3 linked regions of the Ovis aries genome follow. The protein of the gene in region 1 interacts with the protein of each later gene in a biochemical or structural test. Links are inferred from orthologs where the notes say so. Each region holds a gene or a part of one and is shown in the gene's direction. Other genes may lie near its edges.

Region 1 (4,620 bases):
ATGAGGATGTGAGTGTGCAGAATGTGGGAAGGTTGCTTGGGGACTCAGGGAAACACTGCGTCCTGCAACTGTGCGCATAAGTGTTCATGTCTGTCCCTTTTCTCCATGAGGATCTCTGTGTTTGTGTCTAAATTACCCAGAGTTTCTAAGGCTTCAGACCAGTAAGCCTCAATCACTGAGTTGTACACTGACACTGAGGTTAGATGAAGAATATTTCTGTACTTGGTTAGGTCCACCGTGTTCAACCATGCCTTGGATAAGATCCATCTTAATTTATGCACTTGTGTATGTTTGAATGCATTTAGAAACCTTCCATTTCCCAACCAAAATGTGAGCAACACATTCAAGGAAAACAGCAATTCCTTTGTTTGTCATTACCACAAGAGGAACCATTTTGAGGACATACACTGTGGCTATGGTGTGTGTGTGTGCATGTGTGTGTGCAGTGCCTTTTGGGGTGGGGACAGTAAGTTGGGACATTCTCTAAAAGTGGACCCTTTGAAACACCCAAGCTTCTCCCAATGGCAGGCTGAGCCCTTTTGACGTTCTTGCTCCTATCATGTCTTGATAATAAGGGACATTTTTTAAGTGTCCCAGGAGAAATATCAGTGGAAACTGAATACCCAGCTGAAGGAAGGTGACTAGAAACTGAGGGCCTATTATACAGAGTAAAGTAAGTCAGAAAGAGAAAAACAAATATCATATATTAATGCGTATATATGAAATCTAGAAGGATGGTGGGAAGGATGCTGGGAAAGGTTGAAGGCAGGAGGAGAAGGGGACAAAGAGGATGAGATGGTTGGATGGCATCACCAACTCGATGGGCATGAGTTTGAGCAGACTCTGGAAGATGGTGAAGGGCAGGAAAGCTTGCCGTGCTGCAGTCCATGGGCTCACAAAGAATCAGACACGACTGAGAGACTGAAGGACAACAAAAAGTATGGTGCTGATGAAGCTGTTTGTAGGGCAGCAATGGAGACGCATAGAGAACAGACTTGTGGACACAGCTGGGAAAGGAGAGAATTGGGAGAGTAGCATTGAAACATATACTTTACATATGCAAAATGAATAGCCAGTGGGAATTGGCAGGGAGCTCAGGCCCTTTGGTCTGTGACAACCTAGAGGGGTGGGAATGGGTGGGAGGGTGGAGGGAGGTTCAAGAGGGAGGGGATGTGTGTATACAGCTGATTCATGCTGATGCGTGGCAGAACCCAACTGAATGTTGTAAAGCAATTATCCTTCAATTAAAGGAAAAAAACTACTACACCTTCAGAAGGCAGAAAGGGTAGCTCAGGGAGGTAGCTTCCAATGGACCCCACCGTGAAAGTGAAAGTCGCTTGGTCCTGACCGACTCTTTGCCTCCAGGCCAGAATACTGGGGTGGTAGCTGCTCCCTTCTCCAGGGGATCTTCCCAACCCAGCAATGGAACCCAGGTCTCCCGCATTGCAAGCGGATTCTTTACCGTCTGAGTCACCAGGGAAACCCCTCCCTGCCTCCATTACCTACTTAGGAGAAAACTTAGAAAGCGAAAGCGAAAGTGACTCAGTCGTGTCCCAGTCTTTTTCTCCAGGCCAGATCACTGGAGTGGGTAGCCGGTCCCCTCTCCAGGGGATCTTCCCCATCCAGGGATAGAACTCAGGAATCCTGCGCTGCAGGTGGATTCTTTACCAGCATTCCAACATGAGACGTTGGTCAGCGGGGGTTAAGAAGCATAAAGAAATCTTAACTGACCTGTAACAATCGCCTCACGCAAACCTGTAAGTAACGCATGCCAAGGGTAAGGTTAAATGCTGGGATACAGCCAGCTCGAAACAGGCCACCCATGTGACAAGTTATTTCTACCTTGGACACATTTCTAAGCGGATGGCAAGCTCATTTAAAAAGGGCTTGTCCTCACCTCCGTGGGCCGCGTCTGCCCCCTGGTCCGCCGGTCACCCGGCGCGCACTTCCTCGCGGTCCCGCTAGATGGCAGGACCGGGCTCCTAGGGGTGGGGGTGGGCGCCGCGCCGCGATCGCCAGGCTCACTCGGCACCGTGGACGCCACGCCCTGCAAATTATTAGGGACTTTTCGTTAGCGACCAAACTGCCGCCTTTTGCATATTGGAATTAGAACCGCGGTGGTGAAGGCAGGGTTGCAGAACTGCACCCTCCCTTTTGGAGGGGCGTGTGGCCCGGGAGAGCCGACGGGGCAGCCTCTTGGGCGCAAACCTCAGCTGCCCCGTGGTCCCCTCTTCGAACAGGGACCCAAGGAACTCGTCCATGGTGACCGCTCAAAGTGTCTGCGAGGTCGTGGAGGCGGGAGCTGGCTGCTGCTGGCCGGCTTTTGTGAAACGGCAGTGAGGATGCTGGCGATTTGTCTCTGAGCCTTGGGATAAACCCTGGGAATGTTCCAGTCATAGCCGAACACGGGAGGAACCTGGGGTGCGCAGATCCTGCCAGGGTGCAGGACCATCCGCTTTTTCCGAAGAAGTCTTCTCTTTCCCTGGCGGGCACGTGGAGCCCAATCTAAAGCCTGCCCGCCCGCATGGACGTACATCATTATGATCTGTCTTTGGACAATGGCCTTAATTGTGGGTACATCTTTTTATTAGGTTGAAATAGAAATTGCCTACACTCCAGCAGGTTTATCTACCACCGCCACCCCCAAAATAGACCCAGACAATTTAAAATGATTCACCAGTGATATCTTTGTGTGTATCCGTAATTTAGTAAATCCATGTGGTGGAAGGGTTGAGGTTTGCAAACTATTAAAGTTTTACATTTCATACGTCTAGTCTGCTGTAGAAAAAGTTGTACACAAACGAATATTCCTGTCTTTTGAGTATTTACTGCCTCCATAGACGAGTCCGGAGTTCACCAGCGGATTTCGCTGCTGAGCGGAACAGAGGGGCAGGGAAAGCTGGGCTGCGCCGAAAACCGACCAATCTCGCCGCTGAGACTGCCCTGCCGGAGGGCAGGGGACCCAGACCCGGAGGAGACCGGCGCTGGGGGCGCCTGCGGACCCCGTGGCCTCCGGGGTCTCGGTGAGGGAAGCCGGCGGGCGAGCGCAGGGGCTTCCCGCGCGCGCTCTGCGGAGGCCTCTCGGAGGCCGCCCCTCGCCCCGCGCGCCGCCCGCCCCGCTCAGGATTGAGGAAGTGAGTCTGGCCCGGCCCGGCCCCCGGCGCACGGCCGGAGCCTCCTCGGAGGAGGGCAGAGGGGCGGCCCGGCCCCGAGCGCCGCCGTCCGCCCGGCCCCGCGCAGCCCGCGCCCCAGGCGCCCGCTGCCCTGCCCGCCGCCGCCGCCCGCAGGTAAGCGCTGCCCCGCCGCAGCCGGCGCGGAGTCCCAGCCCCGCCGCCCAGGCCCCGCGCGGGAAGCGTCTCCCCCGCCCTCCGCGGCGCACTGCCCTGCGTCTCCCGCCGCGCCCTCGGGCTGGAGGGTTCGGGGGGGGCGCAGGCCGGCGCCCGGGCCGGGGGAGCGGGCGAAAGCCACAAAAGGAAGAGGCGCCGAGGCGTCCGCACGGTTCCTCCGCCCTTAGAGAAGCCCCCGCCTTCGAGCGGGCGCGCGTGTGCGCCGGGTGTGTGAGTGCGGGGCGGCGCGGGGGCGCGGCCCGGGACGGCCTGGCGGCGCCGGGCGCCCGGGCGCCGTCTCCCCCACCCCGAGTCCGGGACGGAACCCGCCTTCTCCTGGCGGCCTCTGCGGGCGACCTTCCGCGTGGGATGAGTGTGATCGCGGCCGGGGAAGGCCGGGGACCCCAGGGGGGACGGTGGTGACCGAGGCTCTGGGATCTCTGCGGTCCGCTCACCCTGCCCGTCCACCTTGTGAGGCCGGCGAGTTTTTCTCCCATAAGCATCGGAGATGTAAGGAAATAGGAGCGTGCAGTTACGTTTTCAGCGAGCTTTTCACCAAATGCATTGTCTTTAGAGTTTGCCACTCACTCCCATTGTATCCAGATTCCCTGGGCGTTACAGGGGCAGATGGCAACCCACTCCAGTATTCTTGCCTGGAGAATCCCATGGACGGGGGAGCATGGTAGGCTACAGCCCGCGGGGTCGCAAAGAGTCAGACACGACTGATCGACTTCACTTAAAGGGGCAACTAGAATACGCACGATTTTGAAAAATGCTAACATTCAACTTCTTTTGTGGTCTGATTTAATTATCCTTGTGAATGTCCTAAAAGAATAAAAAATTCAGTTGAAAACATACAAACCTCACACTCAGTTTGTCCCTACAGGTTTGTGGGCCTGCCAAACCTCTCCCTCAGGCTTCCACACCTCAGGGAGCGGCCCTAGTACTCAGATCAAAGCCTGAGACATAAAAACCTGGGAGCTGTCTTCCCTCCCGTGTTCTCATCCCTTGAGTTCAGTTATTGGCAAGGACTGTTGAGTCGTCCTCTCAAAGGTAATGTTCAGGTCCAGCCCCTTCTCCCTCGCCAGCGTCTCTTCCCTACAATTGTAGCTCTCCCCTCCCCCATTCTCTGTTTGGGAGCCGGAGTATAGCTGGAGTGATTTATTGTTTAAAAAGGAAAATTAGAGAGTGTCAGTCCTCTACTCGGAATCCTCAATAGTTTCCTCTTGTGCTTGGCATGAAATCCCAAAGACCTCCTTCCCCTCTCATCCCCCAGTTGATCTGGCCTCTGCCA
Region 2 (4,123 bases), on another chromosome or scaffold:
GATCCAAACTGTCTGGCAGATTCTGGAGCCCTGGTCTATAATGATTTTGCACTTACAAGATTTATGTTAGAATTAGATGCTTTTAATTTAAGTCTCCTCAAGGGGACAGGATTGACTGGGAATCAGAAGATTTAGGTTTGAATCCTGGCTTTGCCCCTGAATCCTGGGAGACTTTGTACAGCTACTTCTTCTCTCTGAACCCAGTCTCTACATCCGTCAAGTGAGGCTGACTAGATCAGGCTGGCAAATAACAGAGCCTGAATTCACGGCAGACGTCACCAATCAATGCTGGCCTTTTCCCCCCACTTGATACATCATTGCAGGAACTCTGTGCTGATCAACTGAAAGTTGAGAGAAAACTTACCTGCCTACCTGCCACTTCTGGTCAAACAGATATTTTGAGGCATTTTGAGACATATTTTCAGTCACCATCTCAGCCCTCATAATGGATACATTATATAGCAGGCCGGGCGCTAGTCATTGTTTCTTTTTTTGCTGTTGTTCAGTGGCTAAGTCATGTCCAACTCTTTTCAACCCCATGGACTGCAGCACACCAGGCTCCCCTGTCCTTCACCATCTTTTTTAACAGATGATAAATCTGGAGCTCAGAGAGGTGAAATGATCTGCCTGGGGTCACAGAACAAGTAGAAGAGCCAGGGTCAGAAAGGCTATGGGTGGGTCCCTTTCTACTTTATCATCTTAAGGTGGGGTGACCCTTGCACCTCTTAGTTTGGGAGGTCAAAATCCTAAACTCCAGACTCCACTTGGAGGATCTTGCCCCAGCTTGAGGTTGACAGTATGGTCATTATCTCTCTCTGTCCTTCTTCGCTTAAGGAACGTGCCATTTCTCTCTCTGGCCATCATTGTCTTGGGCTTAAATGAAGAGATCTGTGTTTTGTTTTGGTTTAAATCCAGCTGTGACCCAGATCACAAGTGTCATCAGGCCAGCAAATATTAGAACTGGAAGTTATTTCAAAGACCACCCAGTTCTACCTCCACCCTCATTTCAAGAGTAGGGGAACTGAGGCCCAGAGGGGAGCAGAGACTTGCCCAAATTAGCAGCTGGTATATGGCAGAGTTGGGACCCAAACCAGGTTCCTGGCTCCTAGGCCTGGGCTCAACCACTCCTACCATTGTAGGAGGCCAACCAGGACTTCCTTCTCTAGCTGTATGCTGGATTGAGTCCCTGCCCTGAGGCCCAGTTTCCTTCTTTATGAATTGTGGAAATAATACCACCTTATAAACATGTCCCCTGGTGCTGTTCCATAGGGCTTCCCTGGTAGCTCACATGGTAAAGAATCCTCCTGCAATGCAGAAGACCTGGGTTTAATTCCTGGGTCAGAAAGATCCCTTGGAGAAGGGAATGGCAACCCACTCCAGTATTCTTGCCTGGAAAATCCCATGGACAGAGGAGCCTGGTGGGCTATAGTCCATGGGATTGCAAAGAGTTGGACAAGACTGAGCAACTGACACATTCACACGTTCAGTGTGGGGAGAAGTTTTCATGATCATTTTCTTCCTTGATGCCTGAGGCCCATGTGAAAGCTGAGGTGGTATGGGAGGGTGAGGGCGTTCAGCTATGCCAGCTCCCAGGACTGGGAGTTGGTTGAAGGCTGCAGGCTTAGGGTGGGGAGGAGTGGTGAGGGCAGGCTCCAAGGGAGGAGAAATTAGAGGGGAGCTGTGGGATTCACTTTGCTTCCCTTCCTTTTGTCTTCTCTCTCCCTCCTTCCCTTCCTGCTTAGGCGCGAAAGGCCATTGGGGAAGCCTTGGAGGGCCAGAAGAGGGCAAGCTCATGGCCCAGCAGGATCCAGAGCCCCACGGAAATTACCTCCATCTTTTCAGACTACTATGATCTGGGCTATAACATGCGTTCAAACTTGTTTCAAGGTCAGGCCAAAAGACAAGGGTATGGGCTATGAAAACCCACAGCCTTCAAGCTATTGGGCCAGAAAGGACCTGGATTCCCAAAGGAATCTAAGACCCCAGGATACATCCCCAGGGACACTCACTTGACAGCCACCAAGGGCCACCTGTATGCCAGGCCTTGTGCCAAGTGCTGGGGATGTCCAGTCCCCTGGCCACGTCTGTCCTCACGGAGCAGATGGTCCCTCCCAGTTGACAGTCAGCCCTACCTCCCCCTGTCCCTCTGGTGTCCTAATCTGCCACGAGGAGGCCAGTGGATCTCTGGTCTGGCCTGCTTTGATTACAGTGACAGTATCAGACTTCCTGGGTTCAAAATTCAGCTTAGCCAATGGGTATGGCCTCAGGCAGGATCCTTAACCTCTCTGAGCCTCAGCCAGCTTTCTTGGTTGTTGTTATTTAGTTGCTGAGTCATGTTCATCTCTTTGCGACCCCATGGACTGCAGCATGCCAAGCTCCTCTGTCCTCCACTGTCTCTCAGAGTTTGTTCAAATTCATATCCATTGCATCAGTGATGCTATCTACTCATCTCATCCTCTGCCTCCCTCTTATCCTTTTGCCTTCAACCTTTCCCAGAATCACAGTCTTTTCCAATGAATTGGTTCTTTCCATTAGGTGGCCAAAGTATTGAAGATTCAGCTTCAGCAATAATCTTGCCAATGACTATTCAGGGTTGATTTCCTTTAGAATTGACTGATTTGACAATCTTGCAGTTCAAGAGACTCAAGAGTCTTCTCTAGCACCACAATTTGAAAGCATCAATTCTTCATCACTCAGCCTTCTTTACGGTCCTTCTTTATGTACTTTCTTGGTACAATGGGGCTTATAACATGACAGGATTTTATGAGGAATCAGCTTACTATCTGACAGGCCAGTATTTTTCTTTCCCAGAGCCCAGCGGGGGCACCTCCGGGGCAAAGTATGTGTCAGAGGCCAAGACATCTGCAGTAAGTTCTGTGGGCCTCTGAGGTCCTATTTGTCAGAGGAGTACCCCTAGCTCCATCTCACAGGCTGATGGGAAACAATTTCCCCAGGGCTTCTTGGTCATACAAGGTAGATCTGAAACTCAAATCCAGGTTTTCCTTCCACCTGCAAAGCCCCAGAGTCTTTTCCCAGTACTTGGCCACCTCCCAAAATATGACCCTGTTCCCAGGGGTCTGATTGCTCGGATGGGGGTCCTTGGTGAGCAAGGGGCAGCTTCTCTCTGTCCCCACATTCAATTTTGGCCTCATTGCAAAATATCAAGTCTTTCTGGCCCCTTTCTTTCCTCCCTCCTTACTCTGTGCCTTCTCAGTGTCCTCGGGGCCTGGCAAACCTCCTACCTGGCTCAGATCCTCATCACCCAAGGAACTAGACAACCACTGGAAAACTTTCTGAGTTTTCCTTTGAGCTTGAAGAAGAAGTAGTGCTTGGGGAGAGAAGAGAGAATACAGCCTCAGATTGTCCCTTTCTGAGTCTTGGGAGTTGGCCTTCCATTACAATTATCACTCAGTAATTTTATGTATGTCTTTATATGGTATGTTTGAAGTGAAGAGAAGTCACTCAGTTGTATCAGACTCTTTGTGACCCATGGACTGTAGCCTACCAGGCTCCTCTGTCCATGGGATTTTCCAAGCAAGAATACTGGAGTGGGTTGCCGTTTCCTTCTCCACAAGATCTTCCTGACCCAGGGATCGAATCCAGGTCTCCTGCATTGTAGGCAGACGCTTTACTGTCTGAGCCACCAGGGAAGTCTCTCAGTTCAGTTCAGTTCAGTTCAGTTGCTCAGTCGTGTCCGACTCTTTGCGACCCCATGAATTGTAGCACACCAGGCCCCCCTGTCCATCACCATCTCCCAGAGTTCACTCAAACTCACCTCCATCGAGTCAGTGATGCCATCCAGCCATCTCATCCTTTGTCGTCCCCTTCTCCTGTCCCCAATCCCTCCCAGCATCAGAGTCTTTTCCAATGAGTCAACTCTTTGCATGAGGTGGCCAAAGTACTGGAGTTTCAGCTTTAGCATCATTCCTTCCAAAGAAATCCCAGGGCTTATCTCCTTGAGAATGGACTGGTGGGATCTCCTTGCAGTCCAAGGGACTCTCAAGAGTCTTCTCCAACACCACAGTTCAAAAGCATCAATTCTTCGGTGCTCAGCTTTCTTCACAGTCCAACTCTCACATCCATACATAACTAATGGAAAAACCATAGCCTTGACTAGACGGAC
Region 3 (4,520 bases), on another chromosome or scaffold:
AAAGAAAAAAAGCATAACTCAACAGAATTGCAAAAGCCCAATGCAAAGGCAGAGGTTTGTAACAATAATAAAAATAAAAGTGTGATTGAATATACACATATATACCCATAAGCAAAATGAAAACAGTCCAACAAAAATAAAATGCAGCAGATTGACCCAGCAGACAAAGGAAACCAAAAATTATCTCTACCAGAACAAAACTATCTAAAGAACAAACTGGAAAACAAAACTAAAGCGAGGTGCCAATTGGGGAATGAAGCAATGAAAACTAACAAATATGTTGAGAGGAAAAGAGAGAAAGAATAGATATGCAAGGCTAAACAGAGGCAGGTAAAGATGATTTATATACATTCAAGATGAACTGCAAGGAAAAAAGAACAGTAGGAAAAGCCAGCAAAGGAATAAATGTAGGAAAAATAATAATAGGTTTAAAAAATCTTAAAAAGAGAAAAGAAAAAAAAACTCTCCAGAACTGCAAAAGCCCAATGTAGAGGCAGAGGTTTATACAACAATAAAAAATGTGACTGAGAAGAAAAAGAATAAAAAAGCTCAAAAGCTCAATTAGATTTCATAGTGCCAATAAAATTGACAACTACAAAAGAGGGGAGAAAAAAGAAAAAAAATAGACTCTACAGAACAAGTCAAAACATAAGAATAATAAATGTTTTTCTTGAGGCACTGCTGTCAGAGTCCTTTCCCTCCCTGGGAGTGACAGTCCACCTCACCTGCCTAGGATGCCCTCCAACACTGTGCTGATCCCTGGACCTGCTGTGGGCTCAGATGCTAATCTGGTCTTACTCTGTGTTCCTGCCTCCAATGTCCACAGCTGTCAGAACTAGTACGTTTTCTTTTGTGGGAGCTCTCAATGACCTTTTATATATTCCATAGATAGAGTCTACATAGTTGATCCTGTGGATTTAATCTGCAGCTGTACAGCTGCTGGGAAGGTTTTGGGTCTTCTTCCTTAGCCACATTGCCCCTGGGTTTCCATTGTGGTTTTATTCCCACCTCTGCATGTGGGTCGTCCACTGGGGTTTACTCCTGAGGCTGCCCTGGAGGACTTGGGTTTGCCCTGTGAGGGCCACGTGTGGAGGTGGTGCATGGGTCACAGGGGTCCTGGCAGCACCAGGTACTCGGGAGTTGGCGGCTAGGGCAGCAGGGAATATTGTGCTCTAGAAGGGTATGGCAACCCGCCCTGGCCAATACACTCCAGTATTCTTGCGTGGAGAACCCCTCCATGACAGAGAAGCCTGGCAGGCCACAGTCTACAGAGTTGCAGAGTTGGACACTACCAAAGCAACCCTGTGCGGAAAGACACAAGGCTTTTGTGCCTGTGGCAGCTCTGCCCCCGTGAGAGTTGAGCGTGAAGGTGGCGCAGCTGCTTGACTTGGGGGACCCTGGTGGCACCAGTATGCAGGGGCACGGACTGCCTCTGTCACAGGAGTTATGGCCCTATCAGGGTCTTTTTTCAAGCCTCTTGTAGCTGGCGATCAGAAGGCTTCTTTGGCCAGTCTTTCTCTATAGCTCTGCTCCTTCAGGCACTTAGAGGGCTCCCTTGCCTGGGGTCCTTCTCTGTTGTTCGGGGCATCAGGCACATAGAGGGGCCCCCCCTGGCTGGGGCCCTACTCTATAGACTGGTGCATCAGGCACTTAAAGGGGCACCCTGGGTGGGATCCTGCTCTCTAGTTCAGTGCATCAGGCGTTTGACGGGCCAGCCTCTCTTGTTCAGCGGACAGTGCTGGCCTGTGGCAGGAGAGAGGCTATGGTGATGGCTGCACCTCCTTCACGGGACTCAGCAGTATCGCCCTGCTTCCATGGCTGCCTGGCTTTCCTCCGCAGGCGTTTCCCACCACAGTCTCTTCCCTCACATCCCCTCAACCCGTCTCTCTGCAGTCAGCAGCAGCCCTTGCCCTGGGATTGCTCCAGCTCCCAGCCGCTGCGCCTTCCAGGGGATCTATGGCCCTGTCTGGGGGATGTATGGCTGCAGCAAGGACTGTCTGAGTCTCATTCCGTTTAGGCTGCCACAGATCAGCTGTTTCACTCTCAGCCTTAAATGTTTCTCCTCTGACTCAGACAGTTGCCCCAGTGTGGGGATCAGACCCGTGTTGCAGTTCCCCCACCCACTTAGGGCAGGCCCTGTCCTAACTAACACTCCTGTTTTTCCTTCTAGTTCCTTCATTCTACTGAGTTTTGCGTGGGTCTGTATATTCTTTACACTGGTCAGGGACTCCTGTCCGCTCTCAGCTGGTGTTCTGCATGCACTTCTGTGTCTGAAGGTGTATTCCTGATGTATCTGTGGAGAGAGAGAGACTCCACGTCCACCTGCTCATCTGCCATCTTATTCCTAGGTTTAATTCTTGAAGAACCCTTTGCTTGGGATGTATAGTCTAAATGCAATGCCATCTAGAAACTAAAATACACATTAATTAATAAATTGTGTGTTTGAAAATTTTTGGATTTCTTTTGGGAGAGCTGTTTTAAAATAATTTTTTTCAAGGTAAGTCTGGTACCAGGTACTTAAAACTAACCAAAGAAAGTGTTGCTTAACAAAGATTTTTGAAGACTTGTTTGAACAACTAGAGAATGGTTTAGAATGAGATTGTGGGGGGAGGGTTTAAGATCTTGTAAGAAAATATCTTTACTTTTTCCCTAGCCATGTTGTTTACGCTTTAAATCACCCTACAATAAAGAAAAGTTTTGCTTAGAACAAGTCAATCTCAGCTCAGTTCTTGCCTCAATTTAGAACTACCAAGTCAGAGAATAGTTACATGATCCTATACCTCCCCCCAAAAAGGAAGCATTATCTAAAAGCATGTGGATTTTTTTTTTTAAAGTGATGGAGATCAGAGAGTCAGGACATCTGAAGGCCAGATCCAAGAAGGGAAAAAAGTTCTGAAAATAAAGACAAAAATGGTAAGATACGGAGTAGCTCTCCATCCCTTTTCCCTCATCCCTAAAGAAGGTTTTTTCCCCTACACTCTTTCTAAAAGAAAGAAATTCTAAAATACTGATTTGTCTTAAATAACTCTTTTAGGCTGATAAAGAGAATGTCGGTAGACCTATCGGGATCAAAAATAATTTAACAGTGGAAAAAAACTGTATTCCTTTAAAACCTTCTAATGAATTAACCAATTCAACCATAGCCACGGATCCACCTAATTCTGAGGATAATAATCAAACTCTGCCATCGTTACCAGTTAAAGATGACCCGCAAGGTCAACATAGAACATTAAGCCAAACATTTCACCTTAAAAACAACAGTAAAAAAAACACAGTGATTACAGAAAAACCAAAGCACGATGCTAACGTGCCCAAGAAACCTGTGCTTGGAGCATATCGTGGCCAAATTGTCCAGTCTAAGATTAATTCCTTTAGAAAACCACTGCAAGTCAAAGATGAGAGTTCTGCAACAACCAAGAAACTTCCAGCGACTGTCTCTAAAGCCACCAAGCCTCAGCCTGGAGACGTCAGCAGCGTAACAGTGAAAAGTGATAGAGCCTCACATATGACATCTGCCACTAAATTTGCAAGCACTACATCTCAGATCCGACACCTTGTGCGACCTCCTATTAGAAGTCAGCACAATAAAGCCCAGGACGCCATGAAACCGGGCAGCAGCAGGATGTCAGCCAATGTCACAGTTCGGAAAGGGCCTCGAGAGAAGGAGTTAAATACAGTTTTGTCTGGCATCAAGACCAGTTCTTCGCAGGACATGAAAGGAGATAAGACACTATCAAAAAGCATGGCAGCTGGAATGGCGGCCAGGCCTGCTTCATCTGCTAATACTAAACTGATAGAAAAGTCAAAGAGTGCTGAGCAGCGCAGACACACTACGGTGAAAGCAGCTGTTGACAGTAGATGGACTCAGCCCAGAGAAACTGCGGAGGAGAGAAAGTAAGTAGATGTGATTTTATTAGCGCAATTTTCAGTAGAGTACCATTTGTAAGTTCAGCTTATCATTTCCTTGATATTAGAGTATTCAAGTCTTTTGTACATGGATTCTCTTCATATGCAGATCAGTCTAAGCCTATTTATATTGTGGAACAGTATATCCTAAGTTACTATGCTTGAGTATGTTTAATGGGGCTTCCCTGGTGGCTCAGTGGTAAAGAATCCACCTGTGATGCAGAAGACACAGGTTTGATCCCTGGGTTGGGAAGAAACCCTGCAGAAGGAAATGGCAACCCACTCCAGTATTCTTGCCAGGATAATCCCATGGACAGAGGAGCCTGATGGGTTACAGTCCATGGGGTTGCAAAGAGTCAGATATGACTTAGCGACTAAAACCAAACCAAAACATGTTTAATTAGGTTGTTTTATGCAGTCAAAGTTAAAATGGTAATGAAATTGGGAAACGATTTATAACCTCTCCATTTAAAAATGCATTCTTGGGGTCTTTGCGCATATAGTTAACATTGGTATGTTCCCTGTTTATCTTCAAACCCGTGAACTATACCTGTGCACTAGTGTAGGATTAAAGACTGGAAGTGGTGTCCAGCTTTCGGTGTGCTTGACAGAAT

What was found.
Region 2: the proteins of LRRK1 (region 1) and CIMIP4 form a complex in vitro, tested with the Homo sapiens proteins (2 studies listed by BioGRID and IntAct, with this or other methods). The link is inferred for Ovis aries from reciprocal best matches to the Homo sapiens genes LRRK1 and CIMIP4.
Region 3: the proteins of LRRK1 (region 1) and CKAP2 form a complex in vitro, tested with the Homo sapiens proteins (2 studies listed by BioGRID and IntAct, with this or other methods). The link is inferred for Ovis aries from reciprocal best matches to the Homo sapiens genes LRRK1 and CKAP2.

The regions. Positions count from the first base shown.
Region 1 is NC_056071.1:5,009,917-5,014,536, reverse strand, and holds the start of LRRK1 (leucine-rich repeat serine/threonine-protein kinase 1), read left to right. Parts: upstream 1-1,549; 5' UTR 1,550-1,757; intron 1,758-2,097; exon of another isoform or gene 2,098-3,287; intron 3,288-4,212; exon of another isoform or gene 4,213-4,379; intron 4,380-4,620.
Region 2 is NC_056056.1:181,047,999-181,052,121, reverse strand, and holds the end of CIMIP4 (ciliary microtubule inner protein 4), read left to right. Parts: intron 1-1,742; coding exon 1,743-1,906; intron 1,907-3,214; coding exon 3,215-3,326; downstream 3,327-4,123.
Region 3 is NC_056063.1:21,853,546-21,858,065, reverse strand, and holds part of CKAP2 (cytoskeleton-associated protein 2), read left to right. Parts: intron 1-2,834; coding exon 2,835-2,913; intron 2,914-3,034; coding exon 3,035-3,894; intron 3,895-4,520. UniProt on the Homo sapiens protein: Possesses microtubule stabilizing properties. Involved in regulating aneuploidy, cell cycling, and cell death in a p53/TP53-dependent manner.